3 linked regions of the Struthio camelus genome follow. The protein of the gene in region 2 interacts with the protein of the main gene of each other region in a biochemical or structural test. Links are inferred from orthologs where the notes say so. Each region holds a gene or a part of one and is shown on either strand. Other genes may lie near its edges.

The links.
Region 1: the proteins of GTF2E1 (region 2) and ERCC3 form a complex in vitro, tested with the Homo sapiens proteins (2 studies listed by BioGRID). The link is inferred for Struthio camelus from reciprocal best matches to the Homo sapiens genes GTF2E1 and ERCC3.
Region 3: the proteins of GTF2E1 (region 2) and TAF6 form a complex in vitro, tested with the Homo sapiens proteins (2 studies listed by BioGRID). The link is inferred for Struthio camelus from reciprocal best matches to the Homo sapiens genes GTF2E1 and TAF6.

What each region holds. Positions count from the first base shown.
Region 1 is NC_090947.1:29,887,779-29,895,604, reverse strand, and holds the start of ERCC3 (general transcription and DNA repair factor IIH helicase/translocase subunit XPB), read right to left. Parts: upstream 3,032-7,826; 5' UTR 2,954-3,031; coding exon 2,935-2,953; intron 2,860-2,934; exon of another isoform or gene 2,838-2,859; coding exon 2,632-2,837; intron 1,644-2,631; coding exon 1,407-1,643; intron 759-1,406; coding exon 709-758; intron 1-708. UniProt on the Homo sapiens protein: ATP-dependent 3'-5' DNA helicase/translocase. Binds dsDNA rather than ssDNA, unzipping it in a translocase rather than classical helicase activity. Component of the general transcription and DNA repair factor IIH (TFIIH) core complex.
Region 2 is NC_090942.1:92,867,681-92,875,404, forward strand, and holds the start of GTF2E1 (general transcription factor IIE subunit 1), read right to left. Parts: upstream 2,991-7,724; 5' UTR 2,789-2,990; intron 2,453-2,788; coding exon of another isoform or gene 2,407-2,452; exon of another isoform or gene 2,332-2,406; intron 2,169-2,331; exon of another isoform or gene 2,058-2,168; intron 1-2,057. Other genes in the region: RABL3 (rab-like protein 3), read left to right, coding at 2,407-2,452, 2,991-3,082, 4,446-4,575, 7,585-7,699.
Region 3 is NC_090978.1:546,359-554,291, forward strand, and holds the start of TAF6 (transcription initiation factor TFIID subunit 6), read right to left. Parts: upstream 3,042-7,933; 5' UTR 2,718-3,041; intron 1,716-2,717; 5' UTR 1,665-1,715; coding exon 1,509-1,664; intron 1,280-1,508; coding exon 1,193-1,279; intron 712-1,192; coding exon 558-711; intron 438-557; coding exon 381-437; intron 113-380; coding exon 1-112. Other genes in the region: MBLAC1 (metallo-beta-lactamase domain-containing protein 1), read left to right, coding at 4,159-4,245, 4,782-4,854, 5,333-5,689. UniProt on the Homo sapiens protein: The TFIID basal transcription factor complex plays a major role in the initiation of RNA polymerase II (Pol II)-dependent transcription.

The sequences.
Region 1 (7,826 bases), on a different chromosome or scaffold from region 2:
TGCGGCTGTAAGACAGAAAAGAACTTTATGAAGAAAAGAAAGGGAGACAGGGATAACACAGGAAAGTGTTAGGAGAAGTTTGAGTTTTCTGCTTTCTCCTTCCCTCTCCTCTCGCTACCTCAAAATCATAGGTTTACATAAAACCGGTTAGCTCTAAACCAGTGGATCTCTCAAGATTCCTTCCAACTTTATCTTCCATACATAGAACACATCAGATTCAATCCAGTAAGCAGATTTCACACAAACACACGCCTCTTGTCAGGCCACTTGCTTGTCCTTCCTGAATAACAGATTACAAATAAAAACACATGAGACTGAAGGACAGCTGTAGAAAAGCTTTCTAACCTAGATTCTTATAAATTGGGAGTGAATGAATGAAACAATTATCTGAAAACCTTAATGAGACATTGCAAGTCCAAGCAATAAAGAAACAAGCTAGAACATCAAATTAGTATCCTGTTGCAGTAACGTAATGATCAGCACCAGGAGCTCAGGAGAGTCAAACTGAATGCATTGACTAATGCATTAAATGCTTTGAAACAACTGAGAATATGATCTTGTGGTAATGTATGTCGCAATCAACTGGGAGCTGTAACGCAGTTTTCAACTCAACAGCTACTGAGACCACAGTCAGAGTTGTTTATGTACAGCGGTGCGCTTGTTTCGAAGACTTCCTCCTCCATGCTAATTAAGGAAGAAGCTGCTTACCTGTTGTGTTTCAGTACCAGCTTTACCTTCCCATAGCTGACAGTACACAGCTACAAACAAATAAGAATAGTCATTAGGAACGTATAAAGGATTGTTTCTAGGTTTGGGATCAGATACTGCAACACATTTCCATTTTTTGTGGGAAAGGGCAACAGAGTCAAACATTTACTTACAGTGTTATTATGCTTAGGGAAAAAAAACTACTTTAACAACTACTTTCAGATTATGCATACATCATCTCACATAGGAGATCAACCACAGACATTCAGTTTTTATATTCAATTCCAGTCTCCTTCTAGGATGGCAAAAACACACTTGCAAGATAAGGAGGCTCTGTTTTATAGTGCACCAACTACTCCAGCTAACTTCCCACATTACTAACCTTCAGAGTAAATATGAGGAAGCTTACTCCACGTGCGTTTCCTCTGGCCTAAAGCATGCACACTAAGGCTTTGTTTTAGGACCTCCATTTCAAGCTATAAGCCACATATAGGCTACATTATGAAAATATTATTTGTGCAACCATGTATCTTATTTTTTGTCTTTATCCACAGTAAAGTCTCTGACCTCTTGAAACAGAGTAACAGGATAGAATATGACTGTGAAAGCAATGAGTGAGTAAAAACCAATGAAGCAGCAGCAGCAGCAGGAAGAGATTTCCGCAGTAGCAGCAGATAAATTTCCCATAATAGGCTTACCTTGATAAACTGAATTATTCCATCTGGGACACCAGTCTTGCTCAGTTTTTGTAAATACTCTGTGATGTCGCTTGTTTGTAAGCCAACACTAACAGCAGCATAAAGCGAGTAAGCAGTCAGCTTGTATTCATGGATGTGTGTTGGTCTGCACACTGGCTCAGCAATAGCAACCAAAAAATCCTGTGCGTATTTGTAAACTGGAGAAAAGGCTTCCAGAAAGATATGGCCATCAGGAGCCTACACAAGGAAGAAAAAACATGCTGAAAGCACACCAATGTTAGTTGAGAAAAACAAGGAGTGTCCTGTCAAACAGCTGTTATGACACAGAATGACTTCACTCTTTAGGTGATAACGTTATCACCACGTTTCAGAAAAAGTGACGACCCTAACAATGAAATTACAACAAGCAGAAATAATATAATTTTATAAACAAGACCTAAATTAAAGAAATGAAGAAACTAACACAATATACACTGTATATCACTGTAGCTGTTTCTCCCCATCAAGGTGTTGAGACTCTTTAAAAAAAAGAGAAAACTTTACACAGAACTACAAAAACTGACAAGACACAGAAGGAGATACAGGAATATGAAACTTTCATCTTCTGCGTTTGTCAGTAGCCTTTCTAGGATGCTAACAAAAAAAACACATCCAGATTGATTAAGCTTTCTAGACTAACATCTTAGCCTTTTTCTCATTCTTTGTTTTAACAATTAAAAAAAAAAATACATTTTCTTGCTCCAAACAGGAGCAAGCTTCCAAACTTCCCTTCCTCCCCGTCCCCCATTTTACCAGAAGGAAGAGAGGAGGAAAGGTGCCAACTGTGTTTCACAGCATTCAATAACAGACACCCTGCAGAAGCTGGCAGGGCAGCTGCCTCTTCTAAATATGCTTTCGCTATTGGCCATGTTTTACATAGGTTTCTTGACTTCCCTTTTAACGCAGAGAAAACAAACGGTACCAGATAGGGGATATCAGACCACGTTGATTAGTGACGTTTCATTCCAACGTACAAACCAAGTTACTGCGTGAGGGACCAACGCATCCTACTTGTCTTATTAACTCCACCGGTTTCTGCCAGAGCCGGTTTCGCATTCCTCCCGGAAACAGCTAGCTAACGTACTCGTGCTCCCCCAACCCGTTAAGGTGACTGCACGCGTGCAGAAAGGAGCGCCCGGCGCGGCGGCCCCCGCCCGCCCCCGCCGGCCGCGCGGCCCGCACGCACCACCCAGAGGGGCCGCGAGGCGTGGTCGGCCTTCAGCGGCATGTGCTGCCGGTAATCCTTGGCGCCGTACTCGTCCACCCGGGCGCCGCTCTCCTCCACCTGCTTCCCGGCCGCGGACGGCACCGCTTCCTGCGGGTCTTTGCCGGCAGCGTCATCGTCCTCCTCGTCGTCCTCTTCGTAATGGCGCTTCTTGGACTTCTTCTTGTCTGCGAAACCATCAGGAGCGGGGTGAGCGGGGGGGGGGGGGCGTTGAATGGGGGGTGGGAGCCGGACCCCCCCCCCCACCGCCCCCGCCGCGCTCACCCCGCTCCTTCCTGCCCATGGCCGCCTCGCCCCGCAGTGTGGGGGGGGGAACGGTCGCGTCACTTCCGCCGGGGAGGGGCGTGACGTCACGGCCGCCCGCCGCGCCGGGGGCAGAGCGGGAAGTGGAATATTCCCGTTTGGGGACGCTCAAAGCGCCGTTTTCGGCAGGCGCCGCGGCCGCCCGCGCAGGGGAGGGAGGTGGCTGCTGCCCGCCCGGGCGAACGGAAAGGCAGCGACCAGCAAGAAAATAAAACAGGTAAATACAGAGAAACTGGTTTAAAAAAAAATCAAAAATGTTTATAATTTTTTTTTAAACAAGAACAGTTTTGAAAACATAACAAAGTCAAACGTGCATGAGAGGCGACGGACAGAGCGCACGGAGTCGGTCAGCTCTTTCTGAGCTAGGGCTTAAGGACAAGGCAGCAGCGCGCCGCGGGACTAGCGCGACAAGCCTTCCTTGGCACCGCTTTAGGCTTTCTGAAGAGCACTGGAAATTCAGGTGTTGGATTGACATGCTGCTCGTGTAAGAGAGTAGGCCAAGTCTTTAAAGCATGTTGCCAACGTATGACGTTCACCCATCAGCAGGGGGACAAAGGTGCTTTAATCTTTTCCCAGCATGAGCGAAGGAGCAAGGGAGAGGGGCTGCCAAGGAGAGCCCGAGGCAGACCGGGGCAGGGGAGCGCAGAAGGGGCTTCCCCGACTGGTGTTGTCTTCCCCCTTCTTTATTCCCCAGTCAGCTCTGGGGATTCAAAGATTGCTTTTCACCTTTTCAGAACAGTGTATTTTCTCTGCATCAATTAAATACTTCAGCATTTGGGGTTTTTTGTCCGTTTTTTTTTTTTAAACAAAATTCTTAAAAGAGAAATCACACTGTTGTCCCTACAGAGTGTTTTAATATCATCTCTAAAGTACAATTCGTGTCTGATTTTGGAAATACAAATACATTTTGAATGGTTAAAAACAAAAATTAAAAAAATATTTTGAACATCAGCCAGCTGAAAATATATTTATCTAGTAAATAATCTCTCAAAGCTTTTATATATTTAATTATTCTAACTAAACATAGTACCCTTAAAAAACAAGTTCATAAAAATGTAAAAATGAAATTGTGGAATAAGATTACTGGGATATATATATATACACACAACCATTCAACGCATACATAGAATTACAAGTACCCTTAAGTTTGGAAGGTTGTTAGACAAATGGAACTAGTAAGCAACGCTCAACTCCTGAGTTCCTCAACCAAGATAACCATAGGCTAATTTTTAATTTTTTTTCTTTTTTATACACAAGATATTCCATGTAAAGCAGCAACAGCAGTGCAGTTACTGATAGCAACATCTCAAAAGTAATAAAAAAACCATACATCCAGACAGTAGTACATTGCACACACACGTGATTCTCATACGCCCCTCAACAATTGGTCAGAGTATTAAATCAGTGTACAAATTAAATATTTCCAGAAATGTGCAAAAAAGTCAACGTTGATAGAAAAAAACACCTTTGTGTACATACATTACAAACTGTGCCCAGCATTCAACTGAGAGTAAAAACATTTACAGTGAGAAACTGATAGATTAAATAGAGAATTTAATGGCTACATAAAAAAATGTACATTAGATCAAGAGTAAATTTACAAATTTTAATTCCTAGCTTCATGAAAACTAAAAGCCTACGTTCCAATTTATCTAAGTCTCCCTCCACATATTTACAATGATATTCCTTTATATGACTTGCGTGAGGTCTGAGATGACAGACACTATTTTTCATAATAAACTATTTCAATTTTAGGATGACACCACCTTTTAAACTGGTATTCATGAGAAACAAACACTAGGAAACTGACAATCTGATGCCTGTTCAGAAAAGAAAATGCAATCCTTGTTTTTAAATCCACATTATATACTCTTTGGGGAAAAGGATAAGCTATTATTGGGGGAAAAGACATGAAAAACATTTGAAATATTTCCTGCAAGTAGCCACTCTAGAGTTACCATATCCTTTTCCTTATTTCCCCACAAAAGACCTTGACCTCCAGTCCTGATCAGTGGACTCAGAGTAAGGACTGAATCACAAGATAGGATTTTAACGTATTTAATCCAGTTCCTCTCCCTTTAAAGCAGGTTCATGAAGAAATAAGACCTAGCCAAAGCATGACTGCTAACACTGTTTGATACACGAGAATTTTCTCCATCTCCCCTTGCCCCTCAAATATACGGATGTATACATTGCTAGAGAGAAACCAACCAGTTGCTTTATGTAGCACAGCGCGTGGCCACGAGAGTCACCTGCCAAACTCCCCGTATGGCCAGGAGCTGCAGGACACGGGTCGCATCCCCGGAGCGCAGGGCCGCGCGACGCTGCTCTGCCCCAGCGCGCCCACCCCGCAGCCTGAGCCCGACTCCCTCCAGCAGCAGGGATCTGCAGGGCCTCTGACTCCCGTGGCGGAGCCGTGGCATTTCGCTCTATGTTAACGCTCGTGAAATTCAGAAGCTATCGGTGGCCACCACCTACGCAGTATTTCAGTAATGCCAATTAAAATGAAAAAATGGACTGTGCATAGGCAAAGCAGAGAAAATAAAATGAAAAAAGATCCTTTGCTTCCGATCAAGAATTTTGAGTTAGAAACCCCAGTTTGGAAGCAATTCTGCCCCCTTTGGTGTGCGTTTGGGGCTCCTCTTGAAGGCAGCATACACCCCTTAAAGTTGTGGGTGAGATCTGGCTCTGAAGTAAAACAGACTGCTTCGCAGCAGCTTTGAAATTTTCTTATTGTGGAGCACAGAGCAACGTGGATCACGAATCTACTTTTCTTCATGGTATTCCGTAAGTGTCCCAAAACTCAAACCTGGCTACAAAGTAAGTTGCCAAATGCAGTCACCAAGCTTGTACGTTATTTTTAGAATGACATCGATAAGATTAAGTTAAAAAGAGTTTTAAAAAACAAACTCTTCATTTTAATGCTGGCATGAATTTTGCACATCAAAACAGCAACAACAAACACCCAAATCTTTTAAATATGGGCAGTGTCCATCACTTTTTACTAGTACCTGCTTTCTTCAGTTAGCGATAGCTTACTGACATATATATGCGTATATAAGGAACAGTACTAATCCATGAAACATCACTTTTGGCTATATGTAGATGGGGATAGAAAAGCTTTGGTAATTGTATGTGATTTTACACTGCATACTTGTCATGAACACAAGACAGCAAGTTACCAGCAAGAAGAAGAGATACTGGCAGTAATACTTTTGCTTTTCCAGAAACACCATATGGACTTACATTCAAGCACACAAGTTACGCTTTTTCATATGCATGACAAACTTTCAAGACTGAAAAAAAAAAAATCAAAATTCAATTTTAAGTAACTATAGATCTGATCAATTTGCTCAAGTCTCTGAAGCTGCATACGCATTGCTCTATGTTGTCTAAAAAGAATGGCTTGCTGTACTGCACTGTACCTCCTGGTGCTGCAAGAAGGCTTTCAGTCAAGACAATGGCAGGATTAGGATTATCTAACAGAAACAGGGAACAGTTTAACGGGAACAAAGCTAGCTTCACTGAGGAGTTTGCCGAACTGCTAAATCAGAACTAATATTCCTCTATATTGAAAGTAGACAACTTTGAGTACAGTAACATATTTAGAAGTACACCAACCGTCACTTACTAGCCCATTAAGAACTTTTAAGATCTCTGCAGTAAAACCAGAGTCTAGTACCCAGAGAGCTAGGAAACTGTATCTTGGCTGTAACAGCGTCTGTATGAGTGCAGAGAAGTAGTTTTTCTGCATCAGTTTACAGTCTCCAAAATGCAATATGAAAACTGTATTAGCTTAGGTAGTACTCATCAGGAAGTACTTCAAAAATCACTTTTTTAAAGTCTCAATTTAAAAGTCTACAGCAGATTACACATGAAGAACACTTTTCAATGCAGTTAGTGAATTTTGGTTTGGGCACTTGAGAAATGTACTCAAAGACTGTTTTGGTGACACAGAATTGTACGACAGCCATAGCATTTCAATACGGTGTTCAAATATGAACAAAACTAAGGCATACAGATAAAAAGGCACTAGCTAAAAAACCAGCTGTTAAATAACTTATCATGCTGGTATACTGAGAGGACTGTTTAGCTACAGTAGGAATTGCAAATCAAGTGAGTTTTTAAGACTAAATTAAAACTGAGAAAGTAACAGATTTATCAATCAAGAAAAAAGTCAATTATACCCATACCTTTTTTCTGTACTGGCATGGATATTATCATCCTCCAAATTAAAAATGAACAATCTGCTCCTCGAACAGGACTGGGCTGGATCAAGGCTCACCCATTTGTGTTCCCATCAAATGGAACTTGTGTGAACGGTTATTCATCATTTTCCTCATTCCAGCCAAAGTTGGTTAAAAAATACACAGAAGTTTAATAAGATCGGCTGAAACAGCAATAAAAATTCTATTTGTGCCAGAGAGAGCCACGAGCAAAAAATGCCATGAAAGTTATCACCACTAAAGTCAAGTTATACAAGTCGTTAAACTTTTGTTACTTAATATGTGTAAACAGCCAGAATAATAAGATTCATTAGCAGATAAGTCCTTTGAAAATACACATACTCGCTATCAACCTTGACTCTTATTTTCTGCGAGTACAGCTTCATCTTGGCATTTACAGAAAAGCAAAATATAACCCTGCAACAGTATTCTTTCCATTGGTATTCTCTAATAATTGGACCTAGTATTCAAGCATAATTGATGACTTGAAAATGCCGGTATCTTCATTAGTAACATATTAAAAGTTGTCATCGGGGATCTCAAATCCACAACCCTTCTCTCTAATGGAATTTTACGCATGCAGTTCCGTGCACCCTCTGAAACTCTAGAGACAGGGTTTGTTAATTA
Region 2 (7,724 bases):
AATGTATATGTTTGTATACACACAAATGTGATATTCAGAAGTACTTCAAATGCACACACCATTAACAAACAGTTCACAGCTGTAGGACAGCTAGGGATGTGGAAGAGTGAGCTTTCTCCGTGTGGTGACAGAGGTGTTAAATTGACTTAGCTGTACTGTGAAGCCCTAGAATATTTTAACAGTGGATATCAGGATATCAGAAACCCATACAATTCACAATGCCATTTAAGTACATACCAGGGGAAGCACAACCACTATTTTGGAGACTTCTCAGCATTGGTCTGCACATAGCAAAGTGCTAGGGTTCTTTAGGTGGGCTTTTTTTTCCTCCCCCCCCCTTCCTTTTTTTTTTTTTGAAGGGAAAAAGATAAAGGTATTCTCAAACATATCAAGCCTAAGTCATGATTTCAGTATAGTTGACTTAACCCACCATCCCTCTTGAAGTTTCTCAGGGGAAGGAAGCAATAATCCTTCTTAGCATCCTGGGTTCAATGAGAACTGGCACATCATGCTTGGTACCAAAGACTATACGCCCAGAAAGAAAGTGTCTGACTTTAAGGAATTCAGGAAAAAAGTAACACAAACAATTAAGGAACGTGTTTGGAAAAGACTTAGCTCATCAGGATATAGCAAGCTAATAACTCTAATGTACCTACTGGGGATGTAAGCGATAAAGAAATAGAAAATTAAGGAATTAGAGAATATCTGATTAGCTTTAATTTCATATAATTTCTCCATTAGAAGAGCCTTAGGCATCCTGTGTGAGAGCGTGCTGTAAATAGTATCTGAAAGGAGATGGAGGGTAGGACTGAAACTCCCATCAGCCCTTGCTGCTGCTGGAAGGGAACTGGTACACTCTCAAGCACATGGCTCTGCCCATTCTCTTGCACCAGTTCTGACACTCACAAGACCCTTCTGCGCTCCAAATTAACCAACTACCATAGCAGAAGAAAATTTTTTTTAAACTAGATTTGTTCTCTGACATTGTAATCAGTTGAATCAGCTAATGGAAAGGTCTGATAAGCAACAGAAACAGCAGATGCAAGAGAATGCCACTGCAGGGGAAGAAATGAGAGGCAACTCCACCTTTCAGAGGTGGAAAAAAAATCTTAAGTTACCTGTATTTCATGGAATTGTATCTTAACTGGGCAATGCTGAACACTTCTTTCATAAGACACACTTTCCTCACGTATCCTGAGCCACTTGAAATGATACCATTAAATGAACCTACTTAACAGCTCACTCCTGTTGTGAGATGCTCACCTGCCCTTCAGGGAACCATCAACCTTGCTAAGCCAAGAGAAGACCAAAGTAAGAAAACCTTGCAGGCCTAGAGAGCTGAACGGCTTCATTGTGGGGGCTCAGACAATGGTCACACTTGACACAGGGGGATGAGGTTAAAGATATCCCCTTTAACAGTAGCAGGCTGTTGTCTCAATACATCCATCTCATTTCACTGCACCCCAGGCCTCTTGCAGTGCTAATTACTCCTTGGAGTCTATAATCCAGCAGCTCCCCTCAAATTACAAGTCACACAGACTTCCTAAAGTATACTAGGCCTTAGCATTGGCCTAAGCTTTTACACCCATGCTAACCAGAGAAGCCCTTATACTATATGCCCAGCTTCCTACCCTCTACACACTTCTGCGTGTTGAGTTTTTAAACGGCCGGCTCTGTAGGTTCCTCTACGACCGGAGACTCGAGGGGCTCAACAGTATCTCATAAAGGGCGGGGGGGGGAGGGGAATACAAGAAAAGAGGCAGCCGCCGGTTTGGGGCCGAGGGCGCTGGGGAGCAGCACGGAGCCCCGCGGGCGGCACCGGCGTGCACCAACCCCACCAACGGCACCTAAAACAGGCGGGGGGGAGGGGGGACCCCGGAGCGGGGGGAGGGGGAGCGAGGCGGGCTCGCCCCCGCCGCCCGGCCACTCCCCGGTGCGCCGCCGCGTGAGCCCTCGCCCGGGACCGCCACCCGCTCCGGGGAGCCGCGGGCGGGCACCGGGGACGGGGCGAGGGCGGCCCGCTGTCGGCCGGGGCCGGGGCCGGGGCCGGCACTGACCTGCCGCCGCCGCTCCGAGCTCTCCCCTCTCCGGGCGGCGCTTCCGGTGACTGCGCGAGGGCGCGTCACAACCGCGCGCACGCCTGTGACGTCACAAGGCGCCAGGCCCCTGCCCAACGGCGCTGCCCGCGGGGCGCATGCGCACTACGACGTGCTGCCCGTGGCCGGGGCAGAAACCGGTACTAAGCCCGCTGAGCGACAAGGGAAAGAGCCAATCACAGAGCTCCAGGGCGTCCTAGTCGCTCGGGTAAGCAGCCAATGGGCTGAGAAAAATGAGGGCAGTGTGAGTTATGATTGGGGGCGTCGGGAGAGGGCGGGACGCTCAGGGGCTGTTGCTAGGTAGAGTAAGATGGCAGCTTTGGACCGGGTCAAGGTGCTGGTGCTAGGCGACTCCGGTGAGTGTCCCTCCCCCTCCCGCACAGTACGCGCGCGCACAGCGAGGGCGGGGGGACGGGACAGTTACACTCCCCCTCCCCCCCAGGCTCCTTCCCAGGGGGAGGGGGCCCCCCTTCCCCGGTGCCGGGGGGCGCGGCCGCTGCTTCCCGCCGCCCTCCCGCCCAGCGCCGCCGCCTCGCCCTGACGAGAAACCGGCCTCGCTCCACCCGCCCGCGGCCCTTCTCCCGGCCCGCCTGCGTCTCCGGAGACGAGCGGTGCCAGCCGAGCTTCGGCGCTTTGCTCCTCCGTTTGCCCCCCCTCGCCCCGGCTCTGTGCCGCGGCCGTTGGGCACTGACCGTTGGCCGTTAACGGGCGCCTGGCGCGGCGGCCTCGGACTCGCCTTCGAGTCAGGAGGGACTGACGGCGGTGCCCTGGCCGCGCGTTGCACAAACGCGGTGGTTCGTTGAGGGCTTCTGTCGGTTATCTCGCCGCCTTTTTAGCTGTTTTTATCCCAGACACGTCCACTGATCGGGTGTTGTTCTCTACATGCGTTTGCAGGTGTTGGGAAGTCTTCACTAGTTCACCTCTTATGCCAAAACCAGGTGTTGGGGAATCCATCTTGGACAGTGGGCTGCTCGGTGGATGTTCGAGTAGGTGATATTCCAGGCGTTTTTTTTTTTTTTTTTTTAAGTACACATAATTTAAAATGCGAAAGAGGAAATCGACCTTGTTTCCCAGTGTTGTGGGCTTTTTGTTACAAGCTCAACTCTCAGCTGGGCTGATTCAGACTTTCATTCTTCTAAGGGATGTAAATGAGCTTGAACTTAAATAAGCTTGAAAGCAAGATTCTTAGATTTTTGGAATTTGATTCCAGTCTTTAGTTAATTTGTTGTTTTCATTACTTTGCCCCACAGAAAGAGGTGTGTTTCAGTGTTTTGTAAAGTTGAAAACTGTTAGAAGAAAAAGTATCAAATATGTGCAGAGCACTTGTGTGAGCAAATTGTGACTTTACAAGATTGCTAACTAAAGAAGCAAAGATTCTTGTCATTCATAGAGCCTCCTTATCGCAGTGACCACTGAAGTGTTATAAGTTGATGAGCAGCCCATTTAAATCAGAGGATACAGAACTTGCACTACGCTTCCCTGAGAAACAGTCAGTGCACAATTAAATTGTCAGCCAAACATTGGAGAACAGAATTGGCTGTTTGTTTGATTTGAGGATTTCTAGCATGACCATGGGATTGCTTCTGTTGCAGTCTACTCATCACGGCGCCTAGTATCGGGGGACTGTGAGTTTACTCATCTGGTAGTTTTTGGCCTACCTGCAGTCCTTTTGGGATAGTGATAAATGCTTCCTTCCTTCCTTGTATGCAACATTCTCCCTAAAATGCTTTGCGGTAGCTTAGGAATGATCCTGTCCTATTGTCTAGGAGTTTTATCTCAAAGAATGCCAAATTATATTCCCAAAATTTTGGGAAAGAAATGTTGCAGTTGTATTTGACTGTGGAGCAAAACTACGCAGCAAATCCTGGGAGGAAAATTGCTATTTGATTAATTCACTTGACATGTCGATGAGAATTTAGGAGTAAAAAGATGTGGTCAGTCTAAATCTGGTGTAGTCAGCCATGCTAATATTCTTAATTATGCAGTATTGTCATGTGATTTTTAACAACTGCGAGAAATCACAACCTCATCTTTTCACCTGCTTTAGCAGCACATTGTGTCCAAGCACTCCATGAGTCATTAGGTTTGCTAGTGTTTAGGAGGAAAGAATGTTCCCTGCTGACTCACCAAGCTTCATCTCTTGTAGGAACTGCAGTGACCGCCGTGGTCGTTGCCTGACTCAATCCAGTCAGTCCTCTTCTACTTGAGAGATTTCAAATGATGTCAGTGTTAGAATTTACGAATTTCTGTCCAAATGCAGTAGTCATTGCAGCTGAATGTTTAAGTGTTGTGTGGATTAACTCCTGCAAGGTAATGCTGTGATTACGTATGGTCTGAATTTTCCATCAGATTCATGACTACAAAGAAGGGACTCCAGAAGAGAAGACCTACTATATTGAGCTGTGGGATGTTGGCGGTTCAGTGGGCAGTGCCACTAGCGTGAAAAGCACACGAGCAGTATTTTATAACTTGCTGAATGGTAAGTTTGCTTGGAGTAAATCTGTTTTTGTCACTTTCTGCTGTAAGCTGTCTCTTGGCTTTGGAGCAGGATTCCTTGAGTCTGGCTGAGGGCTGTGTTGTTCTCTGTACTCATTCCAGTACATTTATACAGGAACGAGTGATACCATTCTTCAGCAGAATTTTATGGACTCAGTTTTGAACTGGAAAACTATTTCAGGCAAGCCTGTGCAAATGAGCTTCATCCAGCATTTTACTTTGTGTCACTATCCCAGCCTTGTGCAACGGGCACGACAGGGGATGTTTGAAGTTGCAGTGGTGTCCCTTCCAGCTATCCTTGTAGATGTGAGAGCTGGTTTCACCTTTCCAGGTCTAATTCAGAGACTTAATTTATGTTTTCCTTGTCTGTTTGGTTCCAAAATCTAAACCAAGGAAAAGTTTACTGCCCATAAAGCACGTACATGAACTTTGATGGTTATGTCCCACCCTGGCAAGTTTGAACAGATCTCCCATAACATTGCAAGAATCTGATGACCGTCTTGCCCTCTGTTCGCTTAATTTGGCAAGTGATTTTTAGTAATTAATTCTTGCAACTTGCTGTTAATAGAAAGATAGATTTTATGCCTTGGAAAATATGGCATCCCTTCTTTTGAAATAGTGACCTGTAGGTCTAGTAGTTCATCTGGAACACAGAAGTAGCGTATAAGATATTATGAATATAGTATTTAAAATGCAGTATCTCATTAGATACTATCTAGATACTAACAGGTACTATCTATTTGACATGCAAGGACAGTTCACTGAAAATAAGAGTATGCTAGGTTAATGACTACTTCAGAAAACTTAGTCCCGGATGTTCTATTTCGATTCTCATTTCTTGGTCATCATCATCTGAGGGCCCTTCATAATTATGATTATTTCCCCTTTCCCAGGAGAAAAATTGTGCGTAGGTGCCTTTTGCTTACATTATACAACAAGACCCCTCTAAGTAAGGCTGAGCTGAATTGTGCCCTCAAAGCAGAGGCCTTAAAGCAAGCTGCTTTGGTGTATAGAAGAAGTGGATTTCTTTTTGGCACCAAATCCACAATATTACAGTTCGTGTTGGTCAGACTTGGAAATATCCTAGAGCAGCACATGAGGAGATGAAGTTTTGAACTTTTGTATCTGACTTCTAATTGATGGAATTATGAAAATTGGGTTGCTTTATTACCACTGCCCGAAAGACATTAGCCAGTTCACATATGAAAATTGTAGTCTCTGGTAGTTAGCCTTGGCTCTAGTTTCTTTCATTAGATACATTTCTTCATTAGAGCTTGTCTCACAAATTGCCTCTCTTTGACCTGATGCGAGAAGAGGAGCGCATTACTTCTGCCTGACTGCTTGTCCTTTCTGGGCTTGCAGTGATCTGAGAAGTCTGAGATCAAAAGACAGTTAATGTTTGGTTATAGCAGCATCTGTGCAGACTGTCAGGGAGACTTGGTTGCTGAGGAGGTGAGGTATCATTCACTTTTGGTATGGCCACAGATCATCAGCTTTCATGAGCCTGCATCTGTTTTGTGCACGGTGATAGTCCGAGACAGTGAACAGGTAGCAAGGCTGTGGTTTTCAGACATTTATGTAGCAGGAACAATAGTCCTTGGTCTTGTCTGCTCTTTATTGATGTTGACACAGTCTTTTCCGCCGGTCCAACTACTTGTGTAGTTTTGAGCGAGGCAAGTAAGGAAACTGACCAACGAAAAGTGTAAATAGGGGAGAGAGGTCGTTATTTAGGTCAAGGATGCCTGAAAGAGGAGGAATTTTCTTGCAAGTTATGCAGCAGTGCCTCTGAATCTGTTGCCATAAGCCAATTTTTTTTGCATCAGGCTTTCTCTCTCTGTACTGGGGGGTGGACGCAAGGTCAAGTTGCTCTTTTTCTGCTAGTACTGAGATAAAGGCTTTGAAAGAGTGATACTGTTGTGACATGTTGGGGGAGGTGCTCGTTTTCTTGTAGAGTTCTCATAGGAGTCTCTGTGCAAAGTAGTGTGGGGTAGTGGAGAATGCGGCTATGTGGTTTGCTCTTAGTGTTTACAGTGGGTGGCATCTTTGGGAGGTAACCGATGAAAGATTAAATGAAATAAATTTTGTACACCTGTGGGCTGTGAAATGTGTATTGAGAACAAATCCCGATAGCGATGAGAGGTATAATTGCATCTTATCCTTGAATAAGTGATGGTTTAAAGTCTGGAGAAAGTGGGAGCATTCCACAGGTGGCAGAAGGTGTGAATAAATAGAAGATATTTGCTAGCAGGAGTTGATAATTGAGTTAGGAACTCTGGTTATCAGAAGTGGGTGTCTGTTAACAGCACAGCTAGAAAGTTTGGCTGGCAATTTTCCTATCTCAGGATTTACATTTTGAAGGCTCACGGTAATGAAAAATGCTAGAAGCTTTTTCTTGACTACATGGAATCGTATTAGCGCGTGTTCTTACCAAGCGTTTGGTGGACTGTGAAAGTTCATCAGAGCCTATTTCCCCTTTGGATACCTCCACAAGTGCATGGCATTAGTTCTTGAAACTGTGGGAAGGTAATAGTGCTCTGTAAACCCTTCAGAACCCACCCAGCCCCAAAACAGCCTTTCTGTTTCTTAGATTGTGTGACAAGAAAAGAGTTGTGTGTTTACCAGCTAGGTAGAACAGTGAAAGGCTGAATTCTCTGCTGTGTTAATACAGAGTTTCAGTATCATTAGGATTACATTATTAGAGGATTAGAACAGAATTGGGGAATGCCTGCCAGCCTGTTGCAAATTAAAACCTAAGATGGATGTTCTGTTCCTCCTTTCCTGGGTTTTTCTTCTTATCCAACTCCTGAGAAGGAGCTTTAAAAAACTGCTGCATTTTCGTATTTTCACCTTAACTCATTCCCTGTAGTTCAACGAGTTATCTTTCCCTGTCTTAGTTCCCAGACGTCTGGGAACCTGCAGGTGCCATTTTGATAGGAAAAGGAAAAACTGTATATCATGAAATAGCATCTTGCTGCCTGCTCTTTTACTTTAGGGATAATTTTAGTGCATGATTTAACCAACAAGAAGTCATCCCAGAATCTGTATCGCTGGTCTTTGGAAGCACTCAACAGAGATGTCGCTCCAACGGGAGTTCTAGTGACAAACGGGTGAGTGAAAAGCATACTTGTGCTC
Region 3 (7,933 bases), on a different chromosome or scaffold from region 2:
TCAGGGGCGGCCATGCTCTGGCCTTTGCCCTTCAGGGCCCCGTCGTCTTCCTGCCCCGGCTTGGTGGATTTGAGCGGCTCCGTGGCCTCGGCTTTCTGCTGCTCCTTGGGGGCTGGGGACAGAGCATGGGAGGACTGGGGGCAGATCTACCCCCTGACTGGGGCAGATTTGTGCTGGTAGGGGGGCAGATCCGCCTCGACGGGGGGCAGATCTATCCCAGGGAAGGCAAAACTACCAGGGATCGGGGGCAAATTTTCTTTTTTGGAGAACAGATCGAGAGGAGCTAGTGGCAGATCTTCCCCATGAGGAGGACAGATCTCCCATGGGGAGTCCAAGGAGAAGGAGGGGCTGCTCTGGGGACACCTGGGTCCCTCACTCACCTGGAGGAGGGTTTTCGGGGATGGCGGGTTGCACCCCCTCGATGCTGAGCCAGTGAGCTGAGAAAAAAAAAGAGAGAGACAAAAAGCGGTGACAAACAGCAAGGAACAGCTCTTCTCCACCCCGAAACCCGCCGTCACCCCCTTACGATGCCTCCAGGCCACCTCCCCTAGGCCCACCCTTGAGGCAGACGTCTAGGGGCACGCGGGGCAGCGGCGTGTTGATGATGTCGCTCAGGTCGACCTCCTTCTCCTCGTAGAAGTAGAGCTCGCGGCCGCCGCCGCTGGCGTAGCGGAAGGGGATGAACTCCTGCGCGTGGAAGCCGTAGAGCGGCTGCGGGGGCAACGGCGGGCTTAGAGGAGGGCTGGCAGCTCCCCCAGGGCATCCCTGACCCCCCCCCCCAAGCATCCCAAAAGTCCCCGTGTGGATCTCAGAGCCCCCCCAGAGCATCCCAGACCCCTGTCATATCCCAGAGCCCCACCAGGAGCATCTACGACCCCCGCAAGCATCCCCAGAACCCCCCCTGTGGATCTCAGAGCCCCCTCAGAGAATCCCAGACCCCTGTCACATCTCAGAACCCCACCAAGAACATCCCTGATCCCCCCAGAGCATCCCCAGACTCTCCGTGTGGATCCCAGAGCCCCCCCAGAGCATCCCAGACCCCTGCCACGTCCCAGAGCCCCACCAGGAGCATCCCTGATCCCCCCAGAGCATCCCCAGAGCCCCCCCTGTGGTTCCCAGAGCCCCCCCAGAGCATCCCAGACCTCTGCCAAGTCCCAGAGGCCCCCCCCCCAGATACAGGTCCCTGCGGTACCTCCACGTTCTTGAGCTTGAGGGCGAAGTCGACGTCCCCCGTCGTCAGCTTACGCCTCTTCCCCATGTGCATGAACTTGAGGGCATCCTGGGGGGCCGGGGAGGGGGGTCAGCAAAGCGAGGAGCCTCCCACGGCCCCCCCAGGACAGGGGACACCACCAGGGAAGGGGCTGAGTGACGCTGGGACGGAGTGGGTGAGACACGTGCTGTCACCTTCCCTCCCTTCCCCGAAGCCTGGGGCTGAGAGACCTCCCCACCCCAGGCTCTGTCCTTGTCCCTGTCCCCTCTGTGTCCCCCCCCACCGTGTCCCCCCCTACCTGGGCGATCTCCTTGAGGCGGTAGCTGGCTTCGTCGGCCAGGAGCTGGCAGGTCTCCTCGGGCACCTGCCCGATGCCCATGGCCTCGGCCATCACCTTCATGGACTCGGCCGGCAGCAGCGTGTGGCTCAGCTTGAGCTTCTTCTCCTCCGCCATCCTCCTCCTCCTCCTCCTCCTCTGGGGGGTGCTGGTGGTGGTCGTGGGGGGCTGCAGAGGGGGGCGGCAGGGTCAGCAGGGCAAGGAGGGGGTCCTACAAGCTGCACCGGAGATCGTGGTGTAGGGACCCCAAAAAGGGGGGTCCCTACACCGGACCCCGGGAAGGAAACATTTAGGGCGAAGCGGAAACGCGGGAGACCCCGAAATAGGGACATCGTGGGGGGAGACAACGGCACCCCAATATAAAGGTGCTGCGGGGGCATCCTAAATATATAGGATGTAAAGAGATCGTGGGTGGGGGGACTTAAACAGGGGGGATTTGGATATAGGAGCATCGTATAGAAATCGAGAGCACGGGGTCGTTTTGGGGGGCAACGAGAGCCCAATATGGAGACGTTAGGACACAGCAGCAAGTGGGAGGGTCCCCGACACAGGGATGCCACGGGGGGGGGGGACCCCAACCACGGGGGGAACCCCAGGGCAGGGGGGGGACCCCCAAACACCCCCAAATACGGGGGGGGGAACCCCACGGTGGGGGGGGACCCAAAATACAAGGGGAATCTCAGGGTGGGGGGGACCCTCAAATATGGGGGGAACCCCAGGGCGGGGGGGATCCAAAACACAGTGGGAACCCCAGGGTGCAGGGGGACCCCTAAACACCCTCAAACACGGGGGGAACCGCAGGGTGAAGGGCAGGGGGACCCCAAACACGGGGGGAACCCTAAGGCGGGGGGGGGACCCCAAACACAGGGGGAACCCCTGGGCTGGGGAGACCCCCAAACACGGGGGGGGGGGGACCCCAGGGCGCAGCCCCAGAGCCAGAGACCGGGGCAGCAGAGCCGGCGGAACCCCCCCGCCACGGGCATCCCGCCCGGGGGGGACCCCAAATACGCGGGCACCGGGGCAGACGGGGGACCCTGATGCAAAGGGGACCCCGGGGGGGGGGGGAACACACGCATGCGCACACAAGCCCCCCCCCGCCCCAAAAAATATACCGGGAGGGGGAGGGCAGCGCGACCCCGCCCCCTTCCCGGAGCCGGCCCCCTCCCCCACCTCTCACGCCGCCTTCCCGGTGCCGGCCGCCGCCGCCGCCATCTTGGCTCCGCCTCTTGCCGCCGTTCACCGCCAGGTCCTGGCCGCTGCACGCTGTGTTGGGGAAGGGGCTGCGGGGCGGGATCCTCGAAGGGCTTTTCGCCCGCTTTTACGTCGGCGGCGAGGCTGAAGAAGCCCAAACCGCCTGGCGTTTAACGGAGCTTAAGGCGAGTCTGACCCCGGCCGCGGATCCGGGAGCCTTCCCACCCCTTCCTTTCCCCCTCGCTCCGCGCTCACTACCTCCCTGCCAGGACCTGCGAGGCGGCGGGCGGGTCGGGCAACGCGCCTGCGCGTCCCGGTGGAGCCGGCACCGCCTCCAGGGCGGGGCGCATGCGTGCTGCCCGCCCCGCTCCCAGTGCGCGTGCGCGGCGCCAGCGACCCGGGCGCCTGGGCCGTATGGGGCTATAGGGGCCCTGGGCTGTATAGGGCTGTGGGTTTCGTGGTCCGGGTGGGGCTATAGAGACCGGTCTATATGGGGCTGCGGGGTCCCTGGGCTGTATGGGGCTATAGGGGCCCTAAGCTGCATAGGGCTTTGGGTTCCCTGGGCCATATATGGGGCTATAGGGACCAGTCTATTTGGGACTATGAGTTCCCTGGGCCATATGGAGTTATAGGGGCCATTCTATATGGGGCTGCAGGGTCCCTGGTCTGTATGGGGGATAGGGGCATATGGGACAATGGGGTCCTGGGCTGTATGGGGCTGTGGGTTCCCTGGTCCATATGGGGCTATAGGCACCAGTCTGTATAGGGCTCACAGGGACCCTGGGCTAGGTAGGACTGTTCGGGGTGCCTGGTCCATATGGGGCTGTAGGGAAAGGGCCATATGGGACTATGGGGACCCTATTCTGTATGGGGCTGTAGGGACCAGGCCATACAGGGCTATAGGGGATCCTGGTCCATATAGCTCTATAGAGAGTGGTTTGTATGTCATTATAGAGCCCCAGTCCATAGGGGGCTATAGAGACTGAGCTATATAGGACTACGGGGACACAGGTCTGTATTAGACTATAGGAACAGACTGTTTAGAGCCACAGTGAATGGGCTATACAGGGCTATGGGGACCCCGGGCCATAGGGGCCATGAAGGTTGAGCCACTGAGGCTTTAGCAGCTGGTCCGGAGGGGCTATGGGGGGGCATTGGTCCCTATGGGGATATAGGGACTGCTCCACATGGGTCTGTGGGGCTATAGAGACCAGCCCATATAGGGCTATGGGGGCGGAGTTCATATAGGACTACATGAACTGATCTATATGGGACTTGGGGCAGGCCTGGGCCATTCAAGATTATGGTGATGGGTCCATACAGGGCTTGGGGCTATAGAAGACTGGACCATATGGGGCTGTGAGCCATATGGGACCGCGGGGACCTCCGGCAGCGTGCAAGTAGCACCCTGAAGTCCCTGATGAACAAGGGGGTGAAGGTGGACCTGGGGGTCCCCGTGGAGCTGTGGGACAAGTCCTCAGCCGAGGTGACACAGCTGAAGCAGCAGGTGAGACCATGGGGGGGGGGGATCCTTGTGGTGCCACCGGGGTCCTAAGGGAGTCCCAGGACATGGAGATGGAGCCCTGGGGACCCCAGGAGGCGCTAGAGGGTGGTGAGAAGGTCCCAAAGGATCTTGGAGGGGGCTCTTGGGGTCCTGGGGGGTGGGGTCCAGGGGATCCTGAGGGGTGGCAGGGGGCATCCCAGGAGGTGCTGGAGGGTGGTGAGAAGGTCCCAAAGGATCTTGGAGGGGGCTCTTGGGGTCCAGGGGATCCTGGGCAGTGGCTGGGGGGGGGGGTGTCTCTGGGGATGATAGGGGGCGGCAGAGGGGGTCCGGGGGGGTGGTGAGGACGAAGCGCCCCACCCCCCGGCCCACGACCACTCCGGGGAGCTCTGAGCCCCGCGGCCGCCACGACGGGGAGCGGGTAGGAGCCTTGGGGCAGGAAACGCCTTGGGGGGCGGAAACACCTTCTTGTGCTTATTGTCCCTCGTCGCCTCCCGTCCGCCTCCCCAAAATGGCGGCGCCCGGGACTTCTCTCTCTAAAGATGGCGGCGCACACTGCCACCTTCCGGCGGGAGCCCCGCCCCTTCCGGGGCAGTGGCGCGCGGAGCTGTTTGGGTGAGGGGGCGCGCCTTGCGGACGGGACCACGGAGGGGTAACGGGGGGGGGGAACATGGAGGGGAGGACAGCGGAAGAAATGGGGGAGACCACTGGGGACAAGGGAGAGGGGGGCCTGGGAGAGACCATGGGGGATAATGGGGGGATATGGGGAGAGACCATTGGGGATAGCGGGTAGGGACGGGGGGAGACCACTGGGGATAATGGGAGTATTGGGGGAGACCATTGGGAATAGTAGGGGGGAGAATGGGGGAGACCATTGGGGATAGTGGGGAGGGACTGGGGGAGACCATTGGGGATAATGGCATTGGGAGAGACCATTGGGGATAATGGGGAGGGATTGGGGGAGACCATTGGGGATAATGGGGAGGGACTGGGGGAGACCATTGGGGATAATGGGGAGGCACTGGGAGAGACCACTCACCCAGTGGCGGGGGGAAGCTGGCAGGTCCTGCACCCTTCCCCACTCTCTCTTCAGGGCGCCCTGACTCGGTGACCTCCGCGACCTCCACACCGCACCGTCCGTCCTCCCCCCCACCCCAAACCGGGGCGGCCATGCTGCCAGGGGTACGGACGGCATCGCTGGGGACCCACGAGGTGCCGGGGACCCCTTACTCCGTGCGGGTGCTGCAGGAGGGCTACAGCCAGGCGCGTCCCGACGGTTCGTTGCTGGCCGACGGCTCCATCACCCTAGTGCGGGGACCCCTGACGGCCCTGGTGGACACGGGGGGACCGTGGAACCGCGAGCGGCTCCCGGCCTTGCTGGCGGCTCAGGGACTGTCGCCGGCCGACGTCACCCACGTCCTCTGCACCCACGGCCACTCCGACCACGTCGGTAACGTCAACCTCTTCCCCGACGCCACTTTGCTGGTGGGCTTCGACCTGAGCCGTGGCGCCGGCTTCTACCTGCCCCACGGTTTGGCCCGGGGCCAACCCTACGCCCTGGATGCCGGGCACCTCGAGGTGCTGCCCACGCCGGGCCACACGGGCGCCCACGTCAGCGTGGCCGTGCACGGCACGGCCCTGGGCACCGTGGTGGTGGCCGGCGACCTCTTCGAGCGCGAGGGCGACGAGGGCGTCTGGCGGGAGCTGAGCGAGGACCCGGCGCGGCAGGAGGCCAGCCGTCGGCGGGTGCTGGCCGTGGCCGACGTCATCGTGCCGGGTCACGGGCCCCCGTTCCGCGTCCTCAGGGAGTGGGAACCCGGGGATGCCCCCGCGGCCCGGGGTGGGGGGACGTTGGGGGACGAGGGACCTGAGGACGGCCCCTAGGGAAGGGACAGGGCTGGGGACAGCCCTGAGGGATGGGGGAGGCTTGGGGACACCACCAGGGGAGACAAGATTCCTGGAGATGTCCCCAAGGAAAGGGTGGGGAACAGACCCAAGGATGTCCCTGAGGGTTGGGAGAGACCTGGGGACATTGCGGAGGGACCTAGGGATGTCCCCAAGGGTTGGGAGAGACCCAGGGATGTCATGGAGGGACCCAGGCATGTCCCTGAGAGATGGGAGAGAGATCAGAGATGGGGGATCAGAGATCAGGTTTCAAGGGAGACATGACCCCCCCCCAAAGATGTCCCCAAGGGAGGGACAAGAGAGACTCAGGGGTGTCCTTGGGGAAAAAGGAGAAACCTAGAGACATCTCTTAAAGAGGGGACAGAGTCAGAGGTGTCCCCAAGGCCTAGGAGACCCTTGGGGATGTCCCCATGGGATGGGAGAGACCCAGGGATGTCCCCAAGGCCTAAGAGGCCCTTGGGGACATCTCCATGGGATGGGAGACCCTTAGGGATGTCCCCAAGGCCTAGGAGATCCTTGAGGCCATCTCCTTGGGATGGGAGACTCTTGGGGATGTCCCCACAGGATGGAAGAGCCCCAGGGATGTCCCCAAGGCCTAAGAGACCCTTGGGGACATCTCCACGGGATGGGAGACCCTTAGGGATGTCCCCAAGGCCTAGGAGACCCTTGGGGACGTCCCCAGCCACAAAATAAAGCTTCTGAGCAGACCCTGGTGCTGGTATCTCCTTGGGGGGGGCTCAGGGAGGGCAGGGCAGGGCCTGGCACCGGCAGAGCCCTAACGAGGGCCTTAACGAGCCGGGCGATAACGGCCCATGTGACGCGGGGGCCCGGACGCCTGGGTCCGTCCCGGTGGCCTTGAGCTTCTGGTAATAACAAGGGTTATCGCGGGGAGGGAGCCCAGGTGTCCGGGTCCGGCCCCGTGGCAGCCCCTGCCCAGCACCCTCCCAGTGCTCCCGGTGTCCTCCCAGCGCTCGGCCGGCCGCGTCCCCGGAGGGTGCCGAGGTGGGCATGGGGGCCCAGCGCTCGGCCGGCCGCGTCCCCGGAGGGCGCCGAGGTGGGCATGGGGACAGGGACGTCGGGGGAGGGGGGGCACGTCCCCTGCAGGGACAGCCCCAGAGCTGGGCACCGTCACCTCGTCCGCCCTGGCGGTGGGGACAGCCAGGCACGCCGGGGTCCCCTGCCCTGTCCCCTCATCGGTGGTCCTCTCTGCCATGTCCCTGCTGTGTCCCCCCTCATGTCCTGTTCCCCCTTGTCCCCCTGCCCTGTCCCCCTTCTCCCCCATCCCATCTTGTCCCCCGTGTCCCTGCCCTGTCCCTCATCCTGTCCCGCCTTGTCCCCCTGCCTTGTCCCCCATCCCATCTTGTCCCCCGTGTCCCTGCCCTGTCCCTCATCCTATCCCCCCTTGTCCCCCTGCCTTGTCCCCCATCCCATCTTGTCCCCTGTGTCCCTGCCCTGTCCCCCATCATGTCCTGTCCCCCTTGTCCCCCATGTTCCTGCCCTGTCCCCCATCGCGTCCTGCCCCCCTTTGTCCCCTTGTCCTGTCCCCCATCCCATCTTGTCCCTCATGTCCCTGCCCTGTCCCCCCTGTCCCTGCCTTGTCCCCCATGCCATCCTGTCCCCCATGTCCCTGCCATGTCCTCCATGTCCCCCATCCCATCTTGCCCCCCCATGTCGCTGCTTCTGTCCCCCATCATGTCCCACCCACCTTGTCCCCTTGTCCTGTCCCCCATCCCATCTTGTCCCTCATGTCCCCTCCCCATCCCCACCTGCCCCCTGACGCTTCCTGCCA